7 linked regions of the Coturnix japonica genome follow. The protein of the gene in region 1 binds, or shares a complex with, the protein of each later gene. Links are inferred from orthologs where the notes say so. Each region holds a gene or a part of one and is shown in the gene's direction. Other genes may lie near its edges. The genes, in order: PRPF8, LSM5, SNRPD3, LSM6, PRPF4, SNRPF and TSSC4.

The links.
Region 2: PRPF8 (region 1) and LSM5 share a complex: the UniProt entries of both Homo sapiens proteins name them as parts of the U4/U6-U5 tri-snRNP complex. The link is inferred for Coturnix japonica from reciprocal best matches to the Homo sapiens genes PRPF8 and LSM5.
Region 3: PRPF8 (region 1) and SNRPD3 share a complex: the UniProt entries of both Homo sapiens proteins name them as parts of the U4/U6-U5 tri-snRNP complex. The link is inferred for Coturnix japonica from reciprocal best matches to the Homo sapiens genes PRPF8 and SNRPD3.
Region 4: PRPF8 (region 1) and LSM6 share a complex: the UniProt entries of both Homo sapiens proteins name them as parts of the U4/U6-U5 tri-snRNP complex. The link is inferred for Coturnix japonica from reciprocal best matches to the Homo sapiens genes PRPF8 and LSM6.
Region 5: PRPF8 (region 1) and PRPF4 share a complex: the UniProt entries of both Homo sapiens proteins name them as parts of the U4/U6-U5 tri-snRNP complex. The link is inferred for Coturnix japonica from reciprocal best matches to the Homo sapiens genes PRPF8 and PRPF4.
Region 6: PRPF8 (region 1) and SNRPF share a complex: the UniProt entries of both Homo sapiens proteins name them as parts of the U4/U6-U5 tri-snRNP complex. The link is inferred for Coturnix japonica from reciprocal best matches to the Homo sapiens genes PRPF8 and SNRPF.
Region 7: the proteins of PRPF8 (region 1) and TSSC4 are in contact, whole or in part, in a cryo-EM structure (PDB 7PX3), measured with the Homo sapiens proteins. The link is inferred for Coturnix japonica from reciprocal best matches to the Homo sapiens genes PRPF8 and TSSC4. Residues at the interface, in NP_006436.3 of Homo sapiens: Thr2087, Asn2088, His2089, Ile2090, Tyr2091, Val2092, Ser2093, Ser2094, Asp2095, Lys2108, Leu2111, Lys2112, Glu2184, Thr2219, Pro2220, Thr2224, Leu2225, Leu2262, Leu2263; in NP_001284587.1 of Homo sapiens: Pro153, Asp154, Tyr155, Glu160, Arg161, Trp162, Thr163, Lys164, Tyr165, Ser166, Leu167.

What each region holds. Positions count from the first base shown.
Region 1 is NC_029534.1:4,156,542-4,160,805, reverse strand, and holds the start of PRPF8 (pre-mRNA-processing-splicing factor 8), read left to right. Parts: upstream 1-1,464; 5' UTR 1,465-1,583; intron 1,584-2,172; 5' UTR 2,173-2,182; coding exon 2,183-2,282; intron 2,283-2,361; coding exon 2,362-2,530; intron 2,531-3,111; coding exon 3,112-3,276; intron 3,277-3,377; coding exon 3,378-3,596; intron 3,597-4,176; coding exon 4,177-4,264. UniProt on the Homo sapiens protein: Plays a role in pre-mRNA splicing as core component of precatalytic, catalytic and postcatalytic spliceosomal complexes, both of the predominant U2-type spliceosome and the minor U12-type spliceosome.
Region 2 is NC_029517.1:78,884,433-78,888,507, forward strand, and holds the start of LSM5 (U6 snRNA-associated Sm-like protein LSm5), read left to right. Parts: upstream 1-1,275; 5' UTR 1,276-1,365; coding exon 1,366-1,411; intron 1,412-1,698; coding exon 1,699-1,794; intron 1,795-2,230; coding exon 2,231-2,258; intron 2,259-2,620; coding exon 2,621-2,693; intron 2,694-4,075. Other genes in the region: late secretory pathway protein AVL9 homolog, read right to left, coding at 470-562. UniProt on the Homo sapiens protein: Plays a role in pre-mRNA splicing as component of the U4/U6-U5 tri-snRNP complex that is involved in spliceosome assembly, and as component of the precatalytic spliceosome (spliceosome B complex).
Region 3 is NC_029530.1:7,447,982-7,452,089, reverse strand, and holds the start of SNRPD3 (small nuclear ribonucleoprotein Sm D3), read left to right. Parts: upstream 1-1,308; 5' UTR 1,309-1,425; intron 1,426-1,703; 5' UTR 1,704-1,727; coding exon 1,728-1,853; intron 1,854-2,538; coding exon 2,539-2,728; intron 2,729-3,631; coding exon 3,632-3,693; 3' UTR 3,694-4,108. Other genes in the region: protein GUCD1, read right to left, coding at 1,093-1,303. UniProt on the Homo sapiens protein: Plays a role in pre-mRNA splicing as a core component of the spliceosomal U1, U2, U4 and U5 small nuclear ribonucleoproteins (snRNPs), the building blocks of the spliceosome.
Region 4 is NC_029519.1:27,572,512-27,576,634, forward strand, and holds the start of LSM6 (U6 snRNA-associated Sm-like protein LSm6), read left to right. Parts: upstream 1-1,323; 5' UTR 1,324-1,512; coding exon 1,513-1,684; intron 1,685-3,919; coding exon 3,920-4,033; intron 4,034-4,123. UniProt on the Homo sapiens protein: Plays a role in pre-mRNA splicing as component of the U4/U6-U5 tri-snRNP complex that is involved in spliceosome assembly, and as component of the precatalytic spliceosome (spliceosome B complex).
Region 5 is NC_029532.1:810,397-813,438, reverse strand, and holds the end of PRPF4 (U4/U6 small nuclear ribonucleoprotein Prp4), read left to right. Parts: intron 1-183; coding exon 184-307; intron 308-923; coding exon 924-1,013; intron 1,014-1,510; coding exon 1,511-1,633; intron 1,634-1,771; coding exon 1,772-1,879; intron 1,880-1,956; coding exon 1,957-2,075; intron 2,076-2,253; coding exon 2,254-2,447; 3' UTR 2,448-2,542; downstream 2,543-3,042. UniProt on the Homo sapiens protein: Plays a role in pre-mRNA splicing as component of the U4/U6-U5 tri-snRNP complex that is involved in spliceosome assembly, and as component of the precatalytic spliceosome (spliceosome B complex).
Region 6 is NC_029516.1:41,570,194-41,573,029, forward strand, and holds SNRPF (small nuclear ribonucleoprotein F), read left to right. Parts: upstream 1-1,203; 5' UTR 1,204-1,357; coding exon 1,358-1,360; intron 1,361-1,444; coding exon 1,445-1,570; intron 1,571-1,671; coding exon 1,672-1,736; intron 1,737-2,210; coding exon 2,211-2,277; 3' UTR 2,278-2,336; downstream 2,337-2,836. UniProt on the Homo sapiens protein: Plays a role in pre-mRNA splicing as a core component of the spliceosomal U1, U2, U4 and U5 small nuclear ribonucleoproteins (snRNPs), the building blocks of the spliceosome.
Region 7 is NC_029520.1:10,938,695-10,942,992, forward strand, and holds the start of TSSC4 (protein TSSC4), read left to right. Parts: upstream 1-1,498; 5' UTR 1,499-2,165; intron 2,166-2,177; exon of another isoform or gene 2,178-2,267; coding exon of another isoform or gene 2,268-2,285; intron 2,286-2,366; coding exon of another isoform or gene 2,367-2,491; intron 2,492-2,511; exon of another isoform or gene 2,512-2,530; intron 2,531-3,053; exon of another isoform or gene 3,054-3,133; intron 3,134-3,315; coding exon of another isoform or gene 3,316-3,388; intron 3,389-4,298. UniProt on the Homo sapiens protein: Protein associated with the U5 snRNP, during its maturation and its post-splicing recycling and which is required for spliceosomal tri-snRNP complex assembly in the nucleus.

The sequences.
Region 1 (4,264 bases):
GCTATGAGCTCGTGGAGGAGGACTGGAAAGAGCTGTGGGAAGTGAGGATGGCTATTTCAGTGTTGCTTGGACTTGTGGCTGTGGATCCTGGGCAGAGGAGGTGCTAGTGGATCAGACACTGGGGGCTCTGCTCTCCAGCACCTATGGATGATGTGGTTGAACAACCAGGAGCTGCTCAGAGAAGCCCTGAAGGCTCTGGCAGCCCTGAGAAGGGAGCAGGGAGAATTGTTTCCCCTTTGCTTTTCTGGACGTGCAAACACTACTGTGTGTTTCTAACCTCTTAGGTGCTGCACCCTGCAGGGTCCTATTGCCTAAGGGACTCTGTTCTACCTCTGGCACTTCCCATGGGACAGCACCAGGCATCTCCAAGGCTTTGCCCTTCAGTCCAGGGCTGGTTAAAGCCAAATCCTGCACCTATAATTCCTCACAGAGGAGACTGTGCCAGGTGAGAGATGAAGGTTTGGACCTGTCCTTATCAGATGCTGCTGGCACTGGACTAGGGACAGTGGGAGCTTCAGTGCCATCCTTGGGGACAGGCTGCTAACTTCAGACAACTGGAACTTTTCTAGTGTTATTTTGTTCCCAGATCTATTAACTCCCTATAAGTGAGTGTGGGAGCACGTGAGCTGCAGGTCAGGATGATGGTGTGTGATAGTTGCTTCCTGTGAATGGGATGTTTCACATGGGTTAGATATGGGCATCTATGAGGAACCAGAAGTCTTGGTGTAACGCTCTCAAGCAGCAGCAGCAGCTCTTACTAACACAGGCTTTCAATAAACAGCAAACAAATCAGCTCAAGGCTTTAAAGGGAAAGGACTTTTTACACCCAATTTGCTTTTGAAGGCTGTGGAGCTGCTGGGGGTGCCTCTATCAGCAGCTCTGTGCCCACACAGCCACTGCTGCTCAAGGCTGCCATTGTCACCACGTTCCTGCTGTCACACCATTGCCACACACTGGGGACGTTGTTCTGAGCCCTAAGGGATGTCTCACAGTGCTGGCTCCATACAGCCTGCTGTATAGGAACACATTGTGGGTATGGCTTGTGTGTCCAAACTGAAGGATACAGGGCCCAGCTTTGGGATGGGAACCTGTGGGGACAGAGATGGGGCCTCTCTCTCTCTCTCACAAGGGATACCCATGTACAAAGGGGAGGCTGCCTGAGGAAACCCCCATACAGCCATATCTGCCCCTTAGGGCCCATAGCTGGGACAGCCATATCTGCCCCTTAGGCCTCTTAGGCCCCATAGCTACGGTATCTGATTGTCCAATCAGAGCCGGCGTCGAGCTGTCACCGCTATCCCTCTCCACCAATCAAAATCGGCAGAGGGCGGGACCGGAAATGAATAGGCATTCAACCGGTAGTGTACTCTAAACACAGCTTCCTTTCCTCTTCCGCACTTGATCCCGCCTCCTGCCCTCCCCGCGCTCTGATTGGCTATCCCCGCTGTCTGTGAGGCTGCCCCGAAAGCTGATTGGACGAGCCTTCTAGCCGCGCACCCCACCCACATCCGGGTCTCTCAGGCGCGGTGGTGGTGGGCTGCGCCGCCATTGTGGTGCGGGAGTGCGGGACGTCGCAGCGACCGGTGTGTGCGGGGGGGGCCGGGCCGCGGGGATGTGGAAGGGACCGGGAGGGGGGAGGAGGGAGCCGTGATCCCGGTTTGAGCCCCTTGTTCCTCAAATCTCTATGGAGATTTTGGGCAGGGTCCAGAGGAGGGACAGGAAGATGATCAGGGGGCTGGAGCACCTCCCCTATGAGGACAGGCTGAGGGAGTTGGGTTTGTTCAGCCTGGAGAAGAGAAGGTTGCGGGGTGACCTCATTGCAGCCTTTCAATACCTGAAGGGAACCTGTAACCAGGAGGGGAGTAAACTCTTGGAAAGGGCTGACAGTAGCAGGACACGGGGAAATGGTTTGAAGTTAAAAGAGGGAAGATTTAGGTTGGATGTCAGGGGGAAGTTCTTCACTAGGAGAGTGGTGAGGCCCTGGAACAGGCTGCACAGGGAGGTTGTGGATGCCCCGTCCTTGGAGGTGTTCAAGGCCAGGTTGGACGGGGCCATGGGCAACCTGATCTAGTAAAGGTGTATGTTTGGTGGCCCTGCCAGGCAGGGGGTTGGAACTACATGATCCTTGAGGTCCCTTCCAACCCGGGTCATTCTGTGATTCCTCCTCCACAGGTGTGTCGTCATGGCCGCCGTCTTCCCGTACCGCGGCGGCTGCGCGCCGGTACCGACCCCGATGGCCCCGCTACCTGACTACATGTCTGAGGAGAAGCTGCAGGAGAAAGGTGAGTACGGCCTGGATCCATCGCACCGCGCCCAACGGGACCGGCCTCACCTCATCCCGTTACTTCTGTGTCCCCGCAGCCCGCAAGTGGCAGCAGCTGCAGGCCAAGCGCTATGCCGAGAAGAGGAAATTCGGCTTCGTGGACGCTCAGAAGGAGGACATGCCCCCCGAGCACGTCAGGAAGATCATCCGCGATCACGGCGATATGACCAACAGGAAGTTCCGCCACGATAAACGGGTCTATCTGGGGTACGGAGCTCCCCATGAGGAGCGGTGCCTTCAGAATGGGGCTCTGGGGACAGCTGAGCTCAGACAGCAGCATCACAGCACAAGGGTGGCAGTGGGGTGCAGGAGAGGATGAGATGATGAAGTGTTTGCTTGGAGTTCTTAAGGCAAAATATCATTTAGAAGAGGTTTTGGGGGGAGATTGTGACCTAATCAGCCTTTTTTCCCTGTGATTAAAGTGTCGTGTGGGTGTCTCTGTGTTGTTTGTGCTCAGAGAACTGTCTTGTGTAAAGCAGGGTCTGTTGCGTTCATGTAGTTACCCATAAAAACTCATTCGGTGTTTTTTAGTATTATTATTACTGAATGTTTTTAATGCATAGCAATCTCTCTGAAGCCAACCAGTAGGAAAAGCCTTTTGGTAGTGGAATCTGAAGCAGAAGGATAGTTAAGAAGGCTTGTGGGTTCATCACAGAAGGCCTTTATGTGCAGGTTAGCTGAGCAGTTTTATGAGTGGGAGGTATACAGGTAACTGAACTTGCTGCAGACAGGTAATTGTTCTCTGGCGATGCCTTCCAGCTGTAATTTTCCCTGATTTCTGGTTGTAGTGCTTTGAAGTACATGCCTCACGCTGTTCTGAAGCTCTTGGAGAACATGCCTATGCCCTGGGAGCAAATCAGAGATGTTCCAGTCCTGTATCACATCACAGGAGCCATCTCTTTTGTCAATGAGATTCCCTGGGTTATAGAACCAGTGTACATTGCACAATGGGGGTAAGTGCTTTTTACTTAACTCTGGGGGGACACAATGAGTGAATAACCACACATCCACAATAAAGGCAGCATGTAATGTAATGGTCTCTGGTTTCTGCCAGGTCCATGTGGATTATGATGAGGCGAGAGAAGAGGGACAGACGTCACTTCAAGAGAATGAGATTTCCCCCATTTGATGATGAAGAACCTCCTCTGGATTATGCTGATAACATTCTCGATGTGGAGCCTTTGGAAGCAATTCAGCTTGAGCTGGATCCGGAGGAAGATGCCCCAGTACTGGACTGGTTCTACGACCACCAGCCACTGAAAGACAACAGGAAGTATGTGCCTGCCTGGTAACACAATTCACTGTGGGGCTTTAAGAAAATAAGCACTAAAATCTTCATGCACTACATAAATTAAATGTATGTAAAAGTGCATAACTTTTGCTTATATAATATTGGTCTATGCATGGTGTTGGTGGGATGAGAAAACCTTCTTTCAAGGATAGGAGGGAGAATCTGACTGCTGTAGTCATCCCTCTGTCTTCAGTGCTGAGGGAAGGCAATCAATCCCTCTCTGTCCAGGCAGGTTACTGCATGGGTAACTGGTAAAACTGATGTTTCTTGACACATGATAAGAGTGAAAACCTGGATCATCTAGCTTTTATTTGAGTTTATTAAATATACAGTGCGTTTACAAACTGGAGGCTCTTGAATCTTGTCAGTTTGATAATGGAGATGGAGGGGAACTGGCAGATGTAGTCCATGGAGATCTTCAACAAGCCTGTACATTTTATTTTTCTGCCTGGAGAGGGACAAGAGTTATCTATCCTTCGTATTTTCTGCAAATAGCAGAAAGGTAGAAGACCAGTTGTTTTGTGGCTGCAAAATTAGTGTCCTATGCTTTGTTTCTCTGCAGGTATGTGAATGGTTCTACCTACCAGCGCTGGCAGTTCACTCTGCCTATGATGTCCACGCTGTATCGACTGGCTAATCAGCTGCTCACT
Region 2 (4,075 bases), on another chromosome or scaffold:
AGATACTGCCCAGTCACAGAACGTGGAATGACTGCAGGAGTTTAAATGCCAGATGTAATTCTTGATGTAAGACTTGAAGAAAAGAGTTTGAATACCAGTCGTTTGATTGGATCAAATGGCATTTTATATACTCAGTCTCAAATAAATAAATAAATAAATCATTCCTGCAACAGCCTCGCCAAGATTTAGTTAGAGAGCAAAGGAGGAAACGCAACGAGAGCACAGAATACCTACGAAACACAGCGGGCCTTGAAGACACACTGAGCGCCGGTAACGCACAGCTGTTGGGTGGCCCCGTCCCCTCCAGACAGCCCCGCGGAACCGCTCCAGCCCGACCCCGGGCCCCCCACAGCCCGCACCGGCGGGGGATCGCAGCAAGGGGCTCGTAACCGGCCCCCAGCCCGCTGCAGGCAGCGCCCAGCCCAGAACCAGAGGCACGCTCCCGGGGCCCAGCGCTCACACCCCTCACCTGACAGCCCTTCTTATGGTGGAAGCCCACTACCACGATATGCAACACCGGGCCCCGCGGAGGGGCGGCCGGCGGCGCGCCCCGCTTCTCCATGGAGCCCGGCGATGGCCGCTCCGGAGGATACCGCCCAGGCCGGGCTGTCGCTCCGCCTCCTGGTGCCGAAGGCCGAAGGGACGGACCCCAACCGACTGCGCTTCCGCAGAGCCCGGCGAGGGGAGGCGGAGCGGGGCCGCCCTCTTCCCCTTCGCCCTGCCCCCAGCCGCGCTGTGTCCCGGCCCGCCCCGCCCTCCACTCTGTGCTCTGTGCGGTGGGCGCCGAGCGGGAGCGTGCGATGAAACTGATATAGGAAAGTGCTTGGTTTTATTAAAATTAGATACATTAGGGGGCAAAAGATAGGCTATAAGGAACAATCCAGAACTAGCAAGCGAATGATAAGAAGGAAGGGTAGAGCTGCAATCAAGCAGAAGCTCTTAGAAATAAAAGAATCCTGCTGGAATTTTCTTTCTCAGTGTATATCTAATAGATACCAATAAAAACTCAGCCATATATACCAGAGCTGCTCTCAAACTAACGCCTCCTGTTTTATTATGCTGGCCCATGACATCAGAGGTGGATGTTGGTATGGCAGTAGGGGCTACACCTTCCTGCCGTTATATTCCATTATACTTTGTTGCCTTGTGACCGATGGCAGCAGAAGGGCAGTCAGACAGGCTGCCACCTGACATGGCAGTGTGTATAAACAGGAGCGGAACTGAATTCCCATTGCGGTCGGAGCCCAAAGGAGAACACGGCGGTAGAACGAGCGCTCTGCCTGCCGCTACTCAGGGCTGCGTCCCGCCCGCCACAGCCTCTACTTCCTCAGGAGGCGGCAGCCATTGGCCAGCTCTGGCGGCAATATGGCGGCCAACGCGAGCACCAACCCCTCGCAGCTCCTGCCGCTCGGTGGGCAGCGCTGCCGGCGGGTTCTCGCGTGGGCTCGGGCGGGGAGGGAGGGAGGCTGTGACCGGGGTGGGAGAGGCTGCAACAGGGGCTAAATCGGGATCTATGAGCGAGAAACTAAATCGGGATGTAACAAAATTAATTCACCCCTCTTCGTGTTGAGGGAATACGTGCTCCGGGTGTAGCGTTGCTGTTGTTTCCAGTCGGTCGGAGATGATGGAGGGTACCTCTGGGCTGATTGATTTCCTGCAAATACACTAATGCACTTTTGTTGTTTTTAACATCTACAGAGCTTGTGGACAAATGTATAGGTTCTCGCATTCATATCGTGATGAAGAGCGATAAGGAAATTGTTGGAACTCTGCTAGGATTTGATGACTTTGTCAGTATCCTTTGGTGGGTGTTATCTGTGGCCATTAGCTTCATGGGGAAAATCATTTCGTTTATTGTTAAGAACATTAAGCTGTTTGGTATCGGTTTTTTGCTCGTTAGTGGTTTTTGTTTGTTTTTTTATCGCTAAAATCACAGTTTGGTGTAAAATAAATTGCCCATCTCTATACTGCCCTTGTGAGGCCCCCAGCACAGGAAGGATGCAGAGCTGTTGGAGCAGCTGCAGAGGTGGGCTGTGAAGATGATCAAATGCTTCTGTTGCTGGAGGTGTACAAGGCCAGGCTGAATGGGCCCCATGGCAATCTGATCTAGTGGGTGCAGCCTACCAGCAGCAGGGGTTGCTCTGTATTTGGAACTGGGTGGGCTTTACAGTCCCTTCAAGTTCTATGAAAAGAAATCTGGGCCTTATTTTCCTTGAAACTGAGCTTTCAGATATGGTGTTAGAAGATGTTACAGAATTGTAAGTATTATTTTTGTCTCTCATTGCTATTCAGACTTGGGTTTCCTGAGAAAGAATGCGGTATAAGGTCTGTGCTATCACAGATACTTATAAACTGAGCAGTTTTGAATTGTTATTGAAAAAAATGCCAAGTTTTAGAGGGCAAATCTGTGTCTTTATATGCTGAACAAAAAAATACAGCAAATCTGTTTAGTTGCCAGGTAGCTTTCCCTGCCTAGTGGGTCAGTGCATCAAGATGATGTTGCAGTGTTATTTCCAGTAAATGTCATCTTAATATGTGGACTTGCATTGGTGCTGTAATCAGAACTTTATTCATTGTTGATGATTGCATGCTCATATTTTTTTTTCTAATATTGCTTCAGTGAGATCACACCTGAAGGCAGAAGAATCACAAAACTAGACCAGATTTTGCTAAATGGAAATAATATAACAATGGTAAGTCATCACTGTAAATAGTCTGCTTGTGTTTCTTTACCTGTAAATCTGATTGAATTCAACTACTTGAGTAGTTTCTAAGGCATATGGTTTATGAATGATGCTGGGAAAGTGATCTTATTGCTATATTTCATATATTTTATGGTTTAAAATGCATGAAAAGAGGAGCATGGGCATGACTATAGTTTTGGTATATGCTTTTTTGGTTTTCATAAGGTGTGTGAGGGAATCTTTGGACGAGTTTGGTTGACAAAGTGGCTTTTGACTCATGAGTGTCTGTGTAAGTCTGTGGGTTGGGATACATCTGCAGTTCATCCATTATGTATAGGTGTGTTTGCAGCAGCTCAGATACTTATAAGCTTGTTAAGTTACTTGACTATTATTAATCATTATCATGTGATGCCGGATGCTCTGGAAAAAAATAATAAGGTGGAGTTTTGTTGGACTATAACAAATCAGAAGCACTTTCTGGTTGTTACTCGCTGATGTGTATAGATCAGTACTGAAACAATACTGTAGTTAGTTGAGCATCACTAAGTGAATTCTGCATCTTTGTAGATACTTTACCACAAAAGCAGACTCACAGTACATCATTTGCTTTCCTGCACAGATGGGTGCAAAATCTGGACTTCCTGCATAAGGCAGTTCATGATTTTGTTAACAAGACAAGTGGAAGGCTGACTTGAGTCTATCTGTTCTGTGTGAATGGGGAATAATCCCCATATTGCTATCTCACCCTTCTGAGTAAAAGCTATTTTGACTTAATTTCAAAACCTTTTCTTGCTTCGGTTATTGTTCTGCATCTTTAATGCATTGTGCATGTTCTGACTTCTTGTGTGGGTAAAATAATTATTTTATATTATTATTATTTATATTATTTTAACAAAGGAGTTCCTAAAGAACATACATTTTTTTGTCCTTGTTACTCATTCCAAGGTGAATCTTGAAATTCTACAGTTTGTTTTTAAGAGCATTTCAAGAAGCATTTCTTCAACTGATTCTTCTCCAGACCATTGTTATGCTGAGAAGCTTTTTTGCTCTTCCTGACTTTTAGTGATAAGCAAAGCCGCTATATGTATACATGTAAGACCAAACCTTTCTATAGACAGTAGGAAACAAGCCAGCAAAGTATTTTCCTGTGAATAAAAGACTTAAGAGTAAATATAAAAGGAAATATTAAAAAGGTAAACAAAGGTAAAGGGGAAAAAAGATAAAAATCATTTATATTTTCTTAATAATGAACAGCACACTTCCAAAAGAGAAAGACCCAGGGTGCTTTTGAGTCAGATTCAGTAATTTTATGGCACAGTTGTAACATGTGCCCTTAAAAAAGGCGCAGGATCTCCAGTCAGAAGCATGGCTGGGTTTTGCTAAATATGCGT
Region 3 (4,108 bases), on another chromosome or scaffold:
GAGTAAAATGTAAAAGCTGTCAGTCGTTATATGGGAATGTTTTTCTGTACTTCACCATTCCAATTCAGCTTGTTCTCAGCTCTGTATTCTGTGCCAACAAAAAGTCATAGGTCAAATGGGTAAAAAACAGACACAACCAGGATCTCTAGGCAGTGATTTCTTACAAGCCCTATGGATTTCAGCCTCTTCTACTGCCATGTCTTTTTGTGAGTAATTTTTTAAGGTAAGACAGCTCACAAATGACACCATCTGTAAAAGGGCCAAAGAAGAGAGACAAAACCCAATCTATATCAAGAAAATCTGCAATATCAGTAATTCATCCTTTGTTATTTCTTTACAGGCAGTAGTAGTGGTTTCAGTTTCAGCAAAGCCCAGATTGCTTGATGGACTGAAGTGCTTCCGCTTGGCATTGTAACTTCAAAGACAATCCAAGTGAGTTAATCATAAAAGGCTTTTCTTAATGACTTTACCTTCGATCTGGTACAGACCCTTGGAAACCTTTGCTAACACAGAGTCAGCTCTGCTTTCAGATGGGGATAAAAAGCATTCAGCATCCTGGGGGCTGCTGCAGTTTCAACACAGCTTTATATGTAAAACTTTATGGACAATGTCTTGCAGTTTTAAACTGTTTTCTCACTGAGTTACGGCTTATTGCAGCAACAACGCGGTGCACTTTCTCAATCACGTCACTGGGTTTAATCATAACTTTGAAAGCTGGCACACACCCATTGGTGTACTCAGTGTTTGTTAGCAATGTTGATTATACTTTAGAAGGACAAACAGCCCCTCAAATCCCGCTTGAAGGAAGTAATGTAAGCATTGGCGGTGTGTTATGAGCTGTGTTATGAGCAGGTCCATTCTCTGTTACCATCCAGGGCCTTCTAACACCACAACTCACTGTGGATGTCCCTGTTCTCCATACACTATGACTTCAAAGGTAACAACCAGGCCCAGCGCTGCCCGCTTCTCATCCCCACCCCCAACAGAGCTGTCACGGCCCGACCCGCGGCTGTAAACAAGGCGGAGCACTCTCAGCTCCACCAAGTGCTTGACAGGCCGCCCCCGATCCGAGGCCCCGGAGCTGTCACTGACCTGCCTGCGGAGGGGGCTCCCCCGGCTCCCGGGGGCTCCTCATGACGGCGGCCGCCCGCTCACTACCCGCCCCGCCGGACTTAGGGCCGCGCCATGCCCTGCTGCGGCGACGGCTCCTCCCGGCTGCGGAGGGGGCGGACCCCGAAGCGGCTGCTCGGAGCTGGGAGGGAGGGAGCTGCCTTCGGGAGGAACAAAAGTGCAGCGGAACCATCGTGATAAGGCAGCGAGACCCTGAGGGACAGGAGCAGTAGCAGGATCCGCTCCTGTGCCCTTCCGATTCCGGGGCTCTGTGCACGGCGGGAAGGCGGCGGCCATTAGGGTGGTTGGTGGGAGGTGAGTGTCGGTGGGGGTTTGTTATAGGGTCGGTTTGTTATGGGGTGGGTCTGTTGTGGGGGTTTGTTATGTGCCTGCAGCTTCGTAGGGCGGCAGATGTGGGCTGAGAGGGTGGGCTGCCCTCAGCCTTGGGCCGGGCCTTGGGATAGGCGTGTATTGCCAAAGCACTGAGGCCTTTGTTCAATGGAGCAAATCGGCTCCTGTAGGCAAAGCCGAACTGCAGAACGACTGGGAGTTTGTTTCCTTTATTCACTTCTATGTTGTGCTCTCTGTCCCAGGAGTAGAGCCGCAGTGTTGCAGCCATGTCCATCGGGGTGCCCATTAAAGTCCTGCACGAGGCAGAGGGCCACATTGTGACCTGCGAGACCAACACTGGGGAGGTGTATCGTGGGAAGCTCATTGAGGCTGAGGACAACATGAATTGCCAGGTAAAAGAAGTTTATCTCATCTGTTTGGAAGTGGTTGCACTCAGCAGACTGACAGCGGGATTTAAAGACCTTTTACTTTTAGTCTTAGGATAAATAAAGCCCTTTTACTCTGTGCACTTACAGTAATGAAGTGAATTCCAGATTACTGAGCACACCAAATTGCTCAGAATTGGGATTTCCTGTTCCTGGTTCCTCTGTGAGCACCTTCTCTTCAGCAGTTCTTTGTTTATTGCCTGTTGATAATAAATAAACTCTAATTTATGAGCTTAGAGCTGTGCTTAATGCAGAGGACTTTAAGGCATTGCAATAGCCTTAATTTTGATAACTTCATGCAAGTTGTAGTTGAAATAAAAATGTCCTTAATAGCTGGGACCAGTAAAACTTTATTTAAACTATCTGAATAAGAAAACAAAACTAATAAAACTAATTAAGCAAGTGGGGAGGAGGGGAAAATAGTGAGTTTGCTTAAATTTTAGCAAGCTTTAAGACTGTGTTTAAATGGTTATAGATGCCTTATATAACAATAACAGTTGAAGGCTGTATGCTTGATAGGGCTTTGAGTTTATTACTTGAATCTTGGCTATATATATATTCCATGAGCAGGAGTAGTGGGAGTACAAAACTATGTTTAAGGCCACTTAAAACAAACTGTGTTTGAGACCACTGTCTGATCTTTACTTTCCAGATGTCCAACATAACAGTGACATACAGGGATGGGCGAGTGGCGCAGCTTGAGCAGGTGTACAGAGGCAGCAAGATACGGTTTCTCATTTTACCAGATATGCTGAAGAACGCTCCTATGCTAAAGAGCATGAAGAATAAGAACCAGGGCTCTGGAGCTGGCCGAGGAAAAGCAGCTATTCTCAAAGCTCAGGGTGGGTACAGTGTGTTTGTGGTCTGGTGTTCCCTCTTTACCTTCCTGTTTTGCTGTACAGAAACTGAGATGTTTTCATCCCTAACACTAAGCAAAGATGAGCTGTAAGAAGCTGAATGAGTGACAGCAGTCAAAACTCAGACTGATGCACAATACTGATACTGCAGATAGTTCAGGAACAGTAAGTGGCCTTGCTAGAGTTAGGTAAAACTTCACCTTTGGTTTTCTGTAAATGTGGTTGCTGCCTGTTTGGATTACCCAAAGTATGATGATCTAAGTATTCTTAAGCTTAAAAAATATATATTTATATATATATTTATATATATATATATATATATTTATACATACATATATATATACACACACACACACATATACGTACACTTGGTTGATACTTTAAGTTTTTTAAATGAGTAACTGTTAGCCATTCTGCAGTTCATCCTCTTTAATACCTTTTTTGTGTGAACAGTCTCGTTATAACAAGATCAAGAAATAATCATGGGCTCTGAAGCCCTTGGTTAACTCTACCAAATGCAGTAAGGATGTGTGGGGGAGTAACATCTGACAAAATATAGCGAGTTCTGTCACGCTGTATGAAGAGCAGGAGGTCTTAAATCTCTCTGGCTACAGATTCACACAATTTAAAGTAGGAACAATGGTGTGTTACTATTTCATTGCTCTTAATGCATACTCTGTTATGAATAGCAAAGCTGTGTAGTTGTTAGTTACAGTTGTTTTCACAGAAAACTTCTATTTACTTTTATCACTTCCCAGGCCTCATACTGTAGCTTAACTTCTGTGCTTCTAAGGAAGAGACTGAGAGTTATTGATGTTTGGTTTGTCACTTGTTGAGATAAATGTGTTGCATCAAATTCATGTCATCCCTGATGTTTTCTTTCTTCAGTGGCTGCAAGAGGAAGAGGCCGTGGTATGGGTCGTGGCAACATCTTCCAGAAGCGAAGATAATTTTGGTCTTGACCAAAATGCTTTTTTTTTATTATTATTATTAAAGGGGCTCTTAACTTGTCTACATATATGTTGGTAACTTCTGTTTAATAAATGTTTCTGACAAAACCCTGTCTGCTGTTATATGACAGAGCTCCTCTTAGGCACAATAGAGTTCTGGCTTCTTTCTGTAGCTGGCAAATACGTTGGAGGTGGATTTCAAAGTGCGTTGTCTAGAAAACAGTGGACATGGATTTGATTTCTTTGTACTTTTGTGTGATGCATTGAGTTTCAAAGATCATCTTGCTTCCTTTTTGTTCAATACTGCTGTAATTTACCCTCTAAAGAGTTAGAAGTTATTCTTCATGAAGAATTTTTAATGTTGTTTTAAGGTTGTGTTATCACCTGCATTTACAGAGCAAACAGTCAAACTGAG
Region 4 (4,123 bases), on another chromosome or scaffold:
CATTCAAGACTTAGCAATAGTAGACGAGCCCCCAGCTTCCATCATTAAGTTCAGCTGGTAAAGGCCACAGCAACTCTTCATGTTAGAACTTTGTCACCATTTATGTTTGAGGTGAAGAAGCTATAATGGAAACTTTGTGAGCTGCGAAGGACTGAAAACTCCCATTGTAATTTATGACCTTTCATCTGAGGCCAAATGTAAAGGCAATCACAATTGTTCTATATCTCAAGGCTGGCACATAGCAGATGTATGAAGTTTGGAAGTGTTAGACATAAACTTTTATTACCAAATTATAAATAATTTCTACCACTTACAATGTTCACCTTTCAAGTTCATCTTGATTAAAACACACGGGCAGAATGTCACTGATTTCAATGAGTTTTATACAGCTGGAAAAATGCTCTCTGCTTTGTGGAACGATAAAGCAATGCCATATTTTAAAGAATGTACTGATAGCAACGCATGCAAAGTTTTAGACCCAAATCCTTTTTCATCTAGATGACTGAAGCAAAAAGAAGAACCATTAAACAGTGGGTCTCATTTTTTCACACTCGAAGCTTTGAAATCTGCGAGGAGTCTACAGAATGGATTACATAATTCCTTTGAAAACCACCTACCTGAGCACTGGGATTGTGTGACTCAGGAAACAACACATTCTTTAGGTTGTGTATTTACAGTTGTGATTACATTATATAATCTTTGTGAATAAGCAAGAGAGAAATTTTCTTTCCCAATGCAAAACCCACTACACCAACATGCTCAGCAATGTGTCCTATTGCACAGAGGTTCATTTACTCAGTACAGCATGGAAGACTGTTTCAAGGCTTATACAGAAAACCAGGACAAATTTGCTAAGGTGTGGGTTCATGGCTCAGCCTCAAGCCATAGAAGTGGCGAGCTAAGGATACAACGTTGTCCATCTCTATTTCAGTCTTTCGGAATACATATGTTTGTAAATTTAGGACTAAAAAGGAAATTAGAAGGATTTTGTTGACTGGCATCAATGAACCAAGTATCCATAGACAGAAACGATAAAAATAGACAGAAACTATAAAGATAAGTTTAAAACGGACACAGATGAGGTTTTGCAGAGGTCAGGCCACAGCTGGGTGCAGAAGCAGAAAGCTGCTCCCCGTCCTTTGGCAGCAGGTGATCCCATCCAGCTCCTCCCTGCAGCGATAGAGGCGGCGCTACTCAGTGCAGCCACAACCCGCCCCGCTTTAGCGAGCGCGCCCGTCCCGCCGTGTCCCTGCCGCCGCGCCGTACCGCCCGCCGCTGATTGGCCGCGAACGCGGGGCCGGGCGCGCGTAGCAGCGGGTGAGTGTGAGCGGCGTTGTGTCTCGGCCCGGCCGCAATGGGGCACCGGGCGGCGGGGTGCGGGCCGGGCTGTGCCTCGGTGCGGGGAGCGGTGCGGAGGGACCTTTAAGCCCATCCACTTCCAGCCCCCTGCTGTAGGCAGGGACGCCTCCCTCTAAACCGGGTTGTTCGCATCCCCATCCAGCCTGGCCTTCAATGCCTGCAGGGTGGGATGTGCTGCTTATCCATATATCGGCTTTCACATCTATTCCCAGCGTACCGACACAAATCAAGATGAGCCTACGGAAGCAAACTCCCAGTGACTTCCTAAAGCAGATCATTGGAAGGCCTGTTGTTGTAAAGTTAAATTCTGGAGTCGATTATCGAGGTAAGATTCCACCTTGTCTGTGCAGTGAGATGTCCTGCTCCCTTTAGGCTGAGCCTCTCCAATAGCTCAGCCTCTACAATTATTTCTTTATCTCAGTCTTCGTTAAGTTTGGATGCTCTTATCATGCCTCTCCCATGAGGAGACAGGTGTTTTATTCTGGGATGATTTAAACGTTATGATCATGCCAGACATCGCTACTTCAGGTAGGTTTAATTCAGTTGGCTCATCTTAGTGCTCGTTTGTCCTTTGACAAGGAATCTTGGTGTTTGGACACCAGCCCAATGTCATACAGGAGTTATTTTCCTTTCTTTGTTTCCCTCCATTCTCCCTAACTCCCTCCTGGTGCTTACATTTGAGAAATGCACACTTCATTTCTCTACAGAAATTCGATCACTTGTATAAACCAAACATCAGGAAACCCAGCATCTCAGGCTTTTGTTGCAGATCTCTTCAGATTCTGCCTGTAGGCTACCCTTCTCATTTTATGTTTGCACCTCCACCCTCCCAGCCACTGTGAGCACAGCAGCTGCCTGGTTCTCACGTTGGTGTGCAGCTGTAAAATGTCTTGGTTCACTGCCAAGCGCTGTACTCATCTAAGAAGTCCTGGCAAAGTGCACGTGTAATCAGTTGTACAGATGGATATGAATGTAAAAACATTGCTGCATACTGATAAAAAACAGGCAAAATATGAGCCAGGGTGGGCAGCAACAGTATGTGATGCTATTAGTATTCTGGGAGTAAATACAAAGAAAAGAAAGACAACAATGAAAGAAATGAAGATGCACCCTGGCCAGTTGAGTGATAGCTTAAAAAAAAACCCCACAGCCCAACTTCAGCTTGGGGCAAACATTTGTTTTCTGTGGCATCTTGAAGCACTCAGGATTACTGGTGTGAAAATGTTGTCACTGACTTGGCTTGGAAGGTTTTGGTGTATTTAAAACACTTTGTGGCCAGACAGAATTTCCCCATTTATGTGGAAACAGGGATGAAAAACACATACAGGAAAATACCAATCCTCAAGCCATTACAAGTTGGCAAGAAAACTTGAATTCCTAATTATTTAATGGAGGATATTACAGTAACGCTTCTGGAAAATGAGAACATACCCTGGAGGAAGATTCTCAGACTGGAGTTCTCCCCCTCCTCAAATACAGCCAATGTACTGCATGTCTTCAGTTTTAATAGCAGGTAAATTAGATTCTTGTCCATTTTGGTAGTTGTATTTTTAATAGTGGTGTCTGTGTGCAAGGAGGAAGTCAGGAAACACACACAAACAAGATGGAGATGAGCAGCTTGTTAGAAGTTGTTTTATGTATGCAATTAGCAAATTGCATTGTGTACGTATTGCATTTTCTGAGCAGTTCTTCACATCCGTTAATCCCCACATTTAGTTCACTATGTAAATGTTCTGTTTGTACATCACTTAAATTTGGCTGAAGATTTCAGTGTCATATGAAAACCCTTTCCCCGTTGAAGATGTAGAATTGATTTACACAGAAATCACGCTGGCAGCCCATGTTATTCTGTCTATAAGAATGAAAATCACAGAATCACAGAATTGTAGGGGTTGGAAGGGACCTGTAGAGATCATCGAGTCCAACCCCCTGCCAAAGCAGGCTCCCTACACCACGTCACACAGGTAGGCGTCCAGGCGGGTCTTGAATATCTCCAGAGAAGGAGACTCCACAAGCTCCGTGGGCAGCCTGTTCCAGTGCTCTGTCACCCTCACCGTAAACAAATTCTTGTGCACATCCGTGCAGAACTTCCTGTGCTCCAGTTTCTGGAAAATAAATCAGAAAAATGTGCGTGGTGTCCTGTATTAGAAGGGTTATTTCTCACATATATCCTTGATGAGCTTTGGTCAAAACTCAGCTTGTAGCCTTGTTCTTAGGCTGCCCAGTTACACTTTATGTCACAGGTTCTTCTCAGGAGTTGGGCATAAAACAAAAGTAAAAAGCAACAACTAAACTTTCAGAATGGAAGATGTTCTCTTTCAAAGTCACGTCTCAGTGAGTTCTCCCCACCCAGTCATGTACAGGACCTGGAGTTCCCTACTCTCAGTTTAGTTCCTTTAATGCTCTCTGGGCTGCTGACTGACTCACCTGACCACATTTGGAAGTTTAGTTTGCTATGAAGATACAATTTTTTTCCTTGTACTGTTCAAATGCAAAGCCGTTTTGTTTAGTTCAGAAATAAGCTAAAGTTGATTCACTTTTAAACTATCACTCTCTTTAGGTGTCCTGGCTTGCCTGGATGGCTATATGAATATAGCTCTGGAACAGACAGAAGAATACGTAAATGGACAGTTAAAGAACAAGTATGGGGATGCATTTATCCGAGGAAATAATGGTAACTCCTCCTTCTTGTGCTGTATGTACTTTTTACAGCGCTTCTTTTCAGTGCCTGTGCTTTTCCTCAGACCTGGATGAGTTCTGTTCA
Region 5 (3,042 bases), on another chromosome or scaffold:
CTTGGTCAGACCACGTAGTACCAATGAGGTTCTCTGAACGTGGGCACAACTAAATACAAATCTCTTCACTCACATCTGGTGAATTTTCACTGTGTTTAGAAGGCTGCAAATCTCAGTGTTTGATATTCTTAAATGGGTGCCAGTGGAATTGTAATTTGGATTTTGATTTTCCTTTCTCTTAAGGACACAGCACCAACGTAGGAGCAATAGTCTTCCATCCCAAAGCCACTGTCTCCCTCGACAAGAAGGATGTTAACTTGGCCTCGTGTGCAGCTGATGGTTCTGTCAAACTCTGGAGCCTTGAAAGGTCAGAGTGGCATGTATAGATGCAGTGTTGTTGTTTGGGGTTTATCTTATGAAATAATGGACGTTTACTTTCCTCCTGGCAAACACAGCCTGTTATTGTAACACCAGTGCAATTCCCAGCCTCCTTGAGCAGAGAAAGACAGTTGTTTATTAGTCTCACGTGACCACATTTCTTTAGTCTGCTGCAAAGATATTCTCTGTACTGTTCTGCTCTTCCACTGCAGGCTGCTGCACATAGCTCTGGGAGAATAAATATTTGCTCTATCCTGCCTGCCCTGGCTTTCTTCAGCATAGCAGAGTTTGCTGCAGTATGGGATGTTCTGTGTAGTGACAGCAAAGACAGTTTTTGCTGTTGACGCTTTCAGATTAATGAAGGGCCTTGTCAGTTTTTGAAACTAATTGTTCCAGGAGAACTTACTGCTGAGGTTATGAATGTGGATAAAGGGCTTTCACTTAGAGCTTCAGCTGTGTGAGCAGAAAGCAGTGTTTAGAGTCAATAGTCAGAACACTGACTTTCTTGTCTGGCCTGCATTAAAGTCTGTCTCACTGTGGTCACAGCTGCAAAGGTTTGGCTTGAGTCAGCCACCCTGACCAGTGTCTGATCTTGTGTCTTTCAGTGACGAACCAGTGGCAGATATTGAAGGCCACAACATGCGAGTGGCACGTGTGATGTGGCACCCTTCCGGCAGGTTCCTGGGCACTACCTGGTAAGGGGATTCTGATGGGTTTTTTTTGCTTGTTTAAGATGCTATTACTTACAGTCACTGGGATTCATGAAAGCCTTCCTTTCCCTGCACCTCACGTGAGACCCAGTTGGACACAGTGGACAGGAGGTGGTCTGAGGAGGACAGTGGTGCTGAGGGAGAGGGGGACTGAACCGGAGCTAAACAGTACAAAGGTGATCTGAAAGTCCAGTTCCAGAAGCAGAAATGGTTGCTGCTGCTCAGGGGATTTCAAGTGCTAAGGGAGCAACACTTAAACTTTAAGGATGCTACACTGATGTGGAAGTGGGGAAGCTCCCTGCTCTCCCAGGAGCGTGCTGAGGATCTTTGCGTTTCTGAATTTATAGCTTCATTTCTGGCTGTGATTTCCTAATGCTCAATGGACCAGGCAGAGTGAATGTCCTGACAGCTGGTGTGTGTGTGCCCAGTTCAAATAGGATTATGTGATCAGATTTTAATGCTTTTTTTTCTTTGTTATAAAGTTACGATCACTCGTGGCGCCTGTGGGACTTGGAAGCCCAGGAAGAGATTCTCCATCAGGAGGGGCACAGCAAAGGGGTCTATGACATCGCCTTTCACACGGACGGGTCTCTTGCTGGGACGGGGTGAGTTTGTTTGCATCAGGACTGTATGAGAAACATTACCAAGATTTTGTTGCTCACTGATTCCAAAAGCCACAGTACTGGTGTTCTGTCAGCTGCTGAAGTCTGGAGGGTGATGCTGTTTGGGTTTTCTCTTCTCAGTGGACTGGATGCTTTTGGCCGCGTGTGGGATTTGCGCACCGGGCGCTGTATCATGTTTCTGGAAGGCCACCTGAAGGAGATCTATGGACTTAACTTCTCCCCAAATGGGTAAGACAGGAGCTTGCATGTGTTGTGTGGGAGCTCTGAGTACAAAGCTCAGCTTCCAACACATTCTTCCTTGGCAGATACCACGTTGCAACTGGCAGTGGTGACAATACTTGCAAGGTCTGGGACCTCCGGCAGAGAAAGTGCATCTACACCATTCCTGCCCATCAGAACCTGGTGACTGGGGTGAAATTTGAACGTAAGTATCTCCTGTCTGATGTTCCATGTTCCTGCTTTTTCTCTACTGAGGTGGCAGGGAATGGGGCAACTCAAAATCACATCCTTGGATCCGGAGGATCAGTAGTGAGTAGTGGTAGAAGATTTGTCATGTATTTATTTGCAAAACTAATTTCTCCCTTTTTTTCCCTCAACTGCAGCCAATCACGGTAACTTCCTGCTGACAGGCGCCTATGATAACACTGCCAAGATCTGGACTCACCCTGGCTGGTCCCCTCTGAAAACACTGGCTGGTCATGAGGGAAAGGTGATGGGACTGGACATCTCCCTCGATGGCCAGCTGATAGCAACGTGCTCCTATGACAGAACCTTCAAGTTGTGGACAGCAGAGTAGCTCAGAGGCACTGATGATGAACTGGGACAGAGACGATAATAATGGCTTAGAACTAAGAGCTGGGTTTTTGTATATTAAATTTTTTTAAAAGGAAAGGAATTGGCTGTTGCAACATGTATCGCAGTGGCTGTGCTCAGTAGCTCTTGGTTTCCTGGCTGAGGTGGTTTTGAAGCATCTGTGCTGACCAGGGCTTGGTTGGAGTCAAAGCTGGGATGATGTTCTTCCACTTTTTAGGACTTGTTTTGTATTGCAGATAGTGGTTTTCTGCAGTAATTTGGAGATGAACCACCTTCTTCCACCTCCCTTCCAAGACAGGCTCATGTGTTTGCTCTGGTCTGTTTCGCACTAGTGCAGGGCTCACACAGCACTTCATGTACTGTGTTGTACGTCCTCTGTTTTCTTACCTTGTTTTCCAGGATGCTTTAACAGCAGTCTTTGTCTTCTGAAAATAAAGCAGAGTTAGCTGTGAGAGGAGAGCGTACCACAGTTCCTCTGCAGGTTGGTCTCATAGAGGCCTGTATCTCCTTTGTTTCCACTTGCAGAGGATGTTTCAGTGCACATCTCATGTCCCGGCTCCTTCAGCTGTCTCACAAAT
Region 6 (2,836 bases), on another chromosome or scaffold:
ATTCCCCCAACCTTTCTTCATAGGAGAGGTGCTCCACCCCTATGATCATCTTAGTGACCCTCTTATGGACCCATTCCAAGAGTTCCACAGCTTTCTTGTGATGACGGCTCCAGGTCTGGGCACAGTACTGCAGATGGGGCATCACAAGAGCTGAGCAGAGGGGGACGATCACCTCCCTCTCCCTGATGGCCACCCCTTTTTAATGCAGCCCAGCACACCATTGGCCTTCCAGGCTGCAAGCACACACTGCTGGTTCACATCCAGCTTCTCATCCACCAGGACCCCCAAGTCCTTCTCCAAGTCATGCATCAGAGGAACTGACTATATGAAGAAAAGAATGTAGCTGGTCCTGTACTTCTTGGTACACAGCTTTCCCAACACAAGTAGGAGACATGATAAAAGTTGGTTCCAAACCTAAAAAGTGCTGTTTACAGACAAAACACTCATATTGTTCTATTGTCATTCACATATACACCATTAACAACTGTCAGAAAAGTGCAAGTCTTCCATGGCCTTTAACCCAAAGGACTCATGCTGAGCTCATTGCATTCTGACGCCTTGTATGTTTTCACTCCAAGTTCTCTATTCTTTGCTGCAAGGGGCATGAAAACCGTCCATATACACGATTTCCCACATTGTTTATTATTTCCTACATATCCTCAGCACTAACTTCCTTGCAATAAACTTATAAGCAATTCTCTTTCAACTGGCGCCCAGTGAGTTTTACTGTCAGAAAGAAAAAAAAAAGCTTTATTTTAACGTTATCTCTGTTCCCCAGCCAACACATGAGGACAAACACATCCATTATAAATTATCACAGAAACAAATACGAGTGCACTTCAGATAAACATTTATTAAGAAGAATCGTAATTGCTGCTCTTATCCTATCCATCCATAAAGGTAGGGATGTGAGGGGGGACATTCTGGATCTGCAGAAGACACGGTGTGAGGCAGCCGGGGGCTGAGGGAGAGGTGGACAGGGAAGGGGAGGAGAGGGATGGAGGGGCAAAGGCCTAACAGAGCAGAGCGGCGGCACAGTGCTGCGCTGCCACCCCCCGGCCACCACAGACGACACAACCAGAGGTGGTATACGACCATTGGCTGGAGCAATGAGGAGGGCGGCCATTCCAACTAATAAGATTGAGCCCACAACCCCTTTTCCCTTCGCGCTCCGTGGCTCCGTAGCCAATCGCGAAGGCGGCGCGGCGGGGTGAGAGGTTGGAGGTCGGCGCGGCGGCACGGAAGTGGAAGTGGAAGGTATCTCAGCGCTGCCTTCCATTCTGCCTCAGCCCGCGGCGCGCACGAGGCGATCCCGCCTGGCTCTGCGCTTCTCGGGCCGCCATCGCGCCCCATCGCCATGGTGAGGGCAGGGCAGGGCAGGGTGGGGGGAGGCTGTCGTTAGCGGTTGGGATGGCGGGCGGTGCTGACCATTGCTCTCCCCTAGAGCCTGCCGCTCAACCCGAAGCCCTTCCTCAACGGGCTGACGGGGAAACCGGTGATGGTGAAGCTGAAGTGGGGGATGGAGTACAAGGGATACCTCGTCTCCGTCGACGGCTACATGAACATGCAGGTGAGGGATGGAGGGAGGGACCCGGGCCTTGCTTGCTTGTGGGAGGGAAGCAGTAGTGAGGCTCCTGTTGGTGTAATGTTTGTGCTGATTTTCGTTCCAAGCTTGCAAACACAGAAGAGTACATCGATGGAGCACTGTCTGGACACCTGGGAGAAGTTTTGATAAGGTAATCGTGGTGCCTGAGCTGGGGAACGGGGTCTTGTGGGGACTTCTGTGTCTTGTGTTACTGCTTTGTTGAAGCTGGTGGATCTAGGGGATGTGCTTGTGTTTTAAGTTGAAAGAGGGAAGATTTAGGTTGGATGTTAGGGGAAAGTTCTTTACTAGAAGAGTGGTTAGGTCCTGGAACAGGCTGCCCAGTGAGGTTGTGGATGCCCCGTCCTTGGAGGTGTTCAAGACCAGGTTGGACGGGGCCCTGGGCAACCTGATCTAGTAAATGTGTATGTTTGGTGGCCCTGCCAGACAGGGGGGTTGGAACTACATGATCCTTGAGGTCCCTTCCAACCTGGGTAATTCTGTGATTCTGTGTGATTCTGTGTATTGGAGCACTAAATGCTGCTGTAACTCCCATGTGAAGTGAACATTGTATTTGCGAGGGAAATTAAGACATTTCAACTAAGGGAGCTCTTGATTCTATTTACAGGTGCAATAATGTTTTGTACATCAGAGGTGTGGAAGAAGAGGAAGAAGATGGAGAAATGAGAGAATGATGATTTGTATATCTGGAAATAAAGGGTTTTTTTTCTTTTTTTTTTTTTCTTTTCCACAACGTTGTCATCAGGTGTTTATTTTGTTCTTGTATTTGACTATGGGGGGAGTTCACCCAGAGGCTATAAAGAGTCATGAATTTCAGTGGCATTCATAGAGCTAAAACAGCCTGTGGAATGGGAATGCCTGATCTCAATCTGCAGTATTATGGAAAGAACACACAAAACACTAACAACAGGCCACTCTTTGTTATCAGGCATCCAGATAACTGAAGTTTTGGCAGGAACATAATTGCTTTCTCAAATGTTAAGAGCAACCATTGACATTAACCGAAGCTGTTCTGTACCTATCAGCATTTCCTAAAGGTAACCATTGCTTTGCTGATGCTGCTAGTCAGAGCCTCCCCTTGTGAAGGATCTACTTGCATCTCTAGGCTGGAGAGAGGTTCTACAAGCCAAAACACAAATGGCTGTACCTCATGGATTTGTGTGTGACTTTGCGCTGTCTCATCAGTGACCATTTGTCTTACATCTATTCTCAAATACACAGGTATACTTTCAG
Region 7 (4,298 bases), on another chromosome or scaffold:
CCGCTCATGTTCAAACAGAGCACCCAAAATGTGGTGGTGCGAGGCCAGGCAAATCCTGTCTTACACATGCAGTGTCCCTAACAGAAAACAACTGCAGGTTCTCCCTACAGGTTGGCAGTAACTTTGTCATTGGGAAGAGTCAGGTTGATACCTGTCTTCATTAAATATATTCCCTCCACATGAGTTGATTTTTTCATTGCTCACTTAGCAGGATGAAAACTCCAATGTGAGTACACAGCACTGGAATAAGTCAAACCTGCTTGCATGTGAGCCAGAGCCAAAAGAAAGCATAAAGTAAAACAGGTAAGCAAAAACTGATGTAGGAGAAAGGCAGTGTTAAGCACCAAATCCTGGAAACATCCCACTGGGTTTCAAGGATATTTATAGGCTTTCCTTCTTGTAAATGGGAGAGGTCAGGTGATTATTTCCCCCAGCCTTTACTCATTCTGGCTCGGTGCAACTGCAGTCTTCCAGCAGAGGAGGATGTGCTGTGCAACGCTGTGCTTGAGATTTTTACCTACAGGAAAATGCTCCTTTCCTTCCCTACTTCCCCTCATGAACTCTGGCATCAAGCTGAGCATGGCCATACCAGACTCATGTCCACAGTTGTTCTGGGCGCATGAGATGGAGAAAATACATTGGATCGCTGTGCTTGGCCTTCAGTATCACAGTGGCTGCCGGGGAATTGCCTGCCAGTTTCCTACAGCCATGAAGAGAAGGACAGGCAGCCTCTCCCAGGCTCCAAGTGCAGAAGCCTTCAGTGCATAGGCTGGGGCTGGAGCCTGCCAATTGAGCAGCGGAAACAGTCACCGGATAGGGGCCAACAGCAGATTTATGTGCAAGAAAGGAACACAAGGCTCCCAGCAGCAGGGCTGAACGGAGACGCACTGCTCCCTGCAGAGGCACAGGGCAATCTCTGCACAAGAGCTAAGCCTGCCCCAGGCATAGTGTACTTGTTTGGAAGATGTCCTGTGATGGCACACAGAGCCATGTCGAGTCCCGCACCCCTCTTCAAGCCATCTTAGTTCACGCTGGCTAGGGCTAGGCTTTACCATCTGTTCTTCTTTAGGATCTGACTCATTATTTTTATTTCAGCTGTCACCAAGCAATAGCAAAAATCCCAACACAACAGCACATTCACCATCGTGAATTGCCTTGTCTGCAGTCAGCAAAGAACAGCTCATCCCCAGTTCTCTGCAGTGTGTGAGACTCACCTTCTGCACAGCGACAGGAAAGGAGTAAAAGGATACAGACAGCTGATGTAGTAACCTTAGCCATCAGCTGCATCCTGACAAAGAAAAGCCCAACCCCAGATCCATGGCTTATGCTGCTTGCCTCCACCCTTACAAAAATAGGGCATGACCACGCTTAATGCACATCCTTTCCCTGCCTGCTGCTGGTATGCCCAGACAGCATTATGCAGCAGGCTCAGCCCTCAGCCACTGTCTGTGTCTCCCCTGCCCATTGCCTGTCTTTGCCTGTGACTCCTGTTTCTGCTCACACGCCAAAGGACCCTGCTTTCCTCTCTCTTCCCTCCAGACAGGAATCCATCTGCCTGTGTCTCCGCTGTACATGTATATATGTTTAAGGAAAGGCTTACCAAATGGGGAAACACCTCTAGAGCCTCTGCTTTAGAACTTAAAGCTTTTAGCTGAAGAAGGGGGAAAAGAACCAGATGGCCTCAGCCAACACCAATAAAACATGTTCCGACAGAATTCCACATCTTGACACATGAACAAAAAAATGTTCTTTTGGGACAGAGGATGGAAACTTGCTTTTGGCCGGACACTTGTCTCACACCCCAGTGACTGAAGGCTTTCTGGTTATAAAGTACATGCAAATAAAAACTCCACGCTTCCTCTGAACCGCTCGCTGCTGCCAAGCCCAAGAGATGAGGAAAAAACCAACGCCTGACTTGTTTTTTCCACGCGGTTTGGATGAGGAGGGGCCACCCCCGACAGCTTCACAGTCTGCAAAATGGAGGGCGAGCTCCTGGGAGCTGTAGTCCGGCCGCGTCGCTCTCAAAATGGCCCCCAACGGGGAAAGCGCAGACAACTACAACTCTCAGGATGCAAAGCGAGGTGACGCTAACGGGAAGCAGGGTTGTACTTCTGCTTCCTGCACTTCCCCACCTCCACCTTCCTCCGGGCTTGCGCGGCTTTGGGGTATGGGGCGTTTATTCGGTGCTGGGTGTGAGCGGGGAGGGGGGGGGATCCCGGTCCGGGGAGCTGGGTCCTAGGTTGGCAAGGAATGCGGTATATGGGCCCATGGTGCAGGGTGCGGCGGTGGGTTGTGTCGTAGTGCTGTCTGTGCGATGAGAATGGGGTCGAGATTTGGGGTGACGGAGCTCTGTGTTTGCCTCCCAGCTGCAGGAGGGTGAGCAGAGCCAGCAGAGCAAGGCCAGGATGGGAGAGGCTGATGGAGAACGTGGCAGCCAGAGAGACACGGGCCTGTGTGTGCTGTGCAGTGCCCACGTTGCTGTAATGAACGTGTGAGTTTGTCTGGTGTGTTGTCAGCATCTGCGTGTTTGGTATTAACACTGTTAAATTATTCTTCCAGTAGCAACGTTTTCCCTTTCTGTACAAATGCTCTTAGCAAAGAGGTGCCCTCATTCATAGCCTGAAACATCTGTTTTGCTCAGCCCTGCTTTTTGGTGTTTCTTTTGAGTTGCACTCGTTTCTTTCATGTGTTATAAAACTAAAGAGAAAGGTGCAGGATCTTCAAATGATTATTTTGCATTTGGGGGTTGCACTAGAGGCCACGTTTCAAAAGCAACGGTGTCAAAACACAGCCAGACTACACAGAACACAGCATTCAGGCCATTCAGTTCTTTGCAAGCTTCTCCACATACTAATTCCTCATGCAGATCTGTCCCCAGTGGTGAATACAACCTTTCTTTGCAGGCATCTCTGTGGTGTCCTGGGTCTCTTTCCTATTGGCATGTAGTACCTGCAGTGCATATCTGGTACCTTCTTGGCTGCAGTTAACACAGTACATTTACTAATAGTTTACTGCATGTGTAAATTACAGCTTTGTTTTGTTTTTTTTTAAAGCCTCTCTTCTGTTGTAGAGAATAAGACTTGGCTTTGTGAATGTGGAGACTGAGTAACTGTGGTGGAGCCTGTCCTATTAGGTTTGTGCTGTTCTTTTGCTAGTATTCAGGATTATCTGAAGACTTTTTTATGCAAGCTTGAGCTTGTGTCAGATTTAGAACTCTGCTCTGTAGCTTTGGGTGACTCAGGGAGAAAGAATTATTTTCAAAACTCTTTTTAAAACTACATTTCCAGTATCTTGATGGAAATGTTTGTTTTCTAGGGTGGAAGTGCTGAGATCTTTGGTGGCTTTAACTGACCCTCAGGAGGGGAAGCTGACTCAGTCTCAGGAGAAAGTGAGTGACCAGCACACTTTCCATGTCTGTTTACTGCGGCTTTTCAGAAGAACCTATAATTGTGTAGTTTAACTTAACCTAATAGTAAATGAGAACACTTTCCCTAATTCACGTTTTGGAGAGCTGAACTGAAGTGTATTTTTGCCAAGTCTATTTTTGACTGCCCAACAAGCAGTGGTGTTTCAGCCTGTACTGTACTGGAACTCAGGGTTCAGGTCACTGTGTCTTTTGATTGACCAAATGGGCAGCTCTTGCTGACCATTGCTTGCACCCTCCCCTTGTTTCCAGTGTGCTCACACAAGCATGGCATATGCAATTATTTTTCATAATCTGTCTCAATTCATTTCTCACGCTCACTTATCATGTGATTGCAACTATCTAGTAATAACGTAAAAGCTTAAAGCCAAGGAAGGAGTGCACCTTGTACTTTGTCAGTTTAAAGCTGACACAGAACTGTAGCTCTGAGACATTACAGGCTGTTCTGACACATTCCTTGATCAGCAGCAGGGCCCTTTTTAATACGTAGAATATGATTGGGGACGGATGTGAATTGGCAATGAAGAATTGCAACAGACAAAAGAGATTAGGATTTGTTTTTATGGATTTATATGGTATGGGTAAATGAACGGTGTACTTTGGAGAGTCACTGCTGTTCTTGGAAGAAGATATGTGGAACAGTTATATTCAAAAAACTTATGCTCATCATTTAGCAATTGGTCTTGCTGTTACCTTCAGTGAAATTCAGTGCATCACTATTTATAATTACTTTGCATTCTTGTACTGAATTTTGTGGAAGTCTTTAATATTAATGTGCATCTGTTCCACAGCAATGTACTGTGATATAGCAGTAATCATTATCAGGCCTGTCCCAGAGTGATGGTCATACGTGTGATTTTCATTGCGCAGTTGA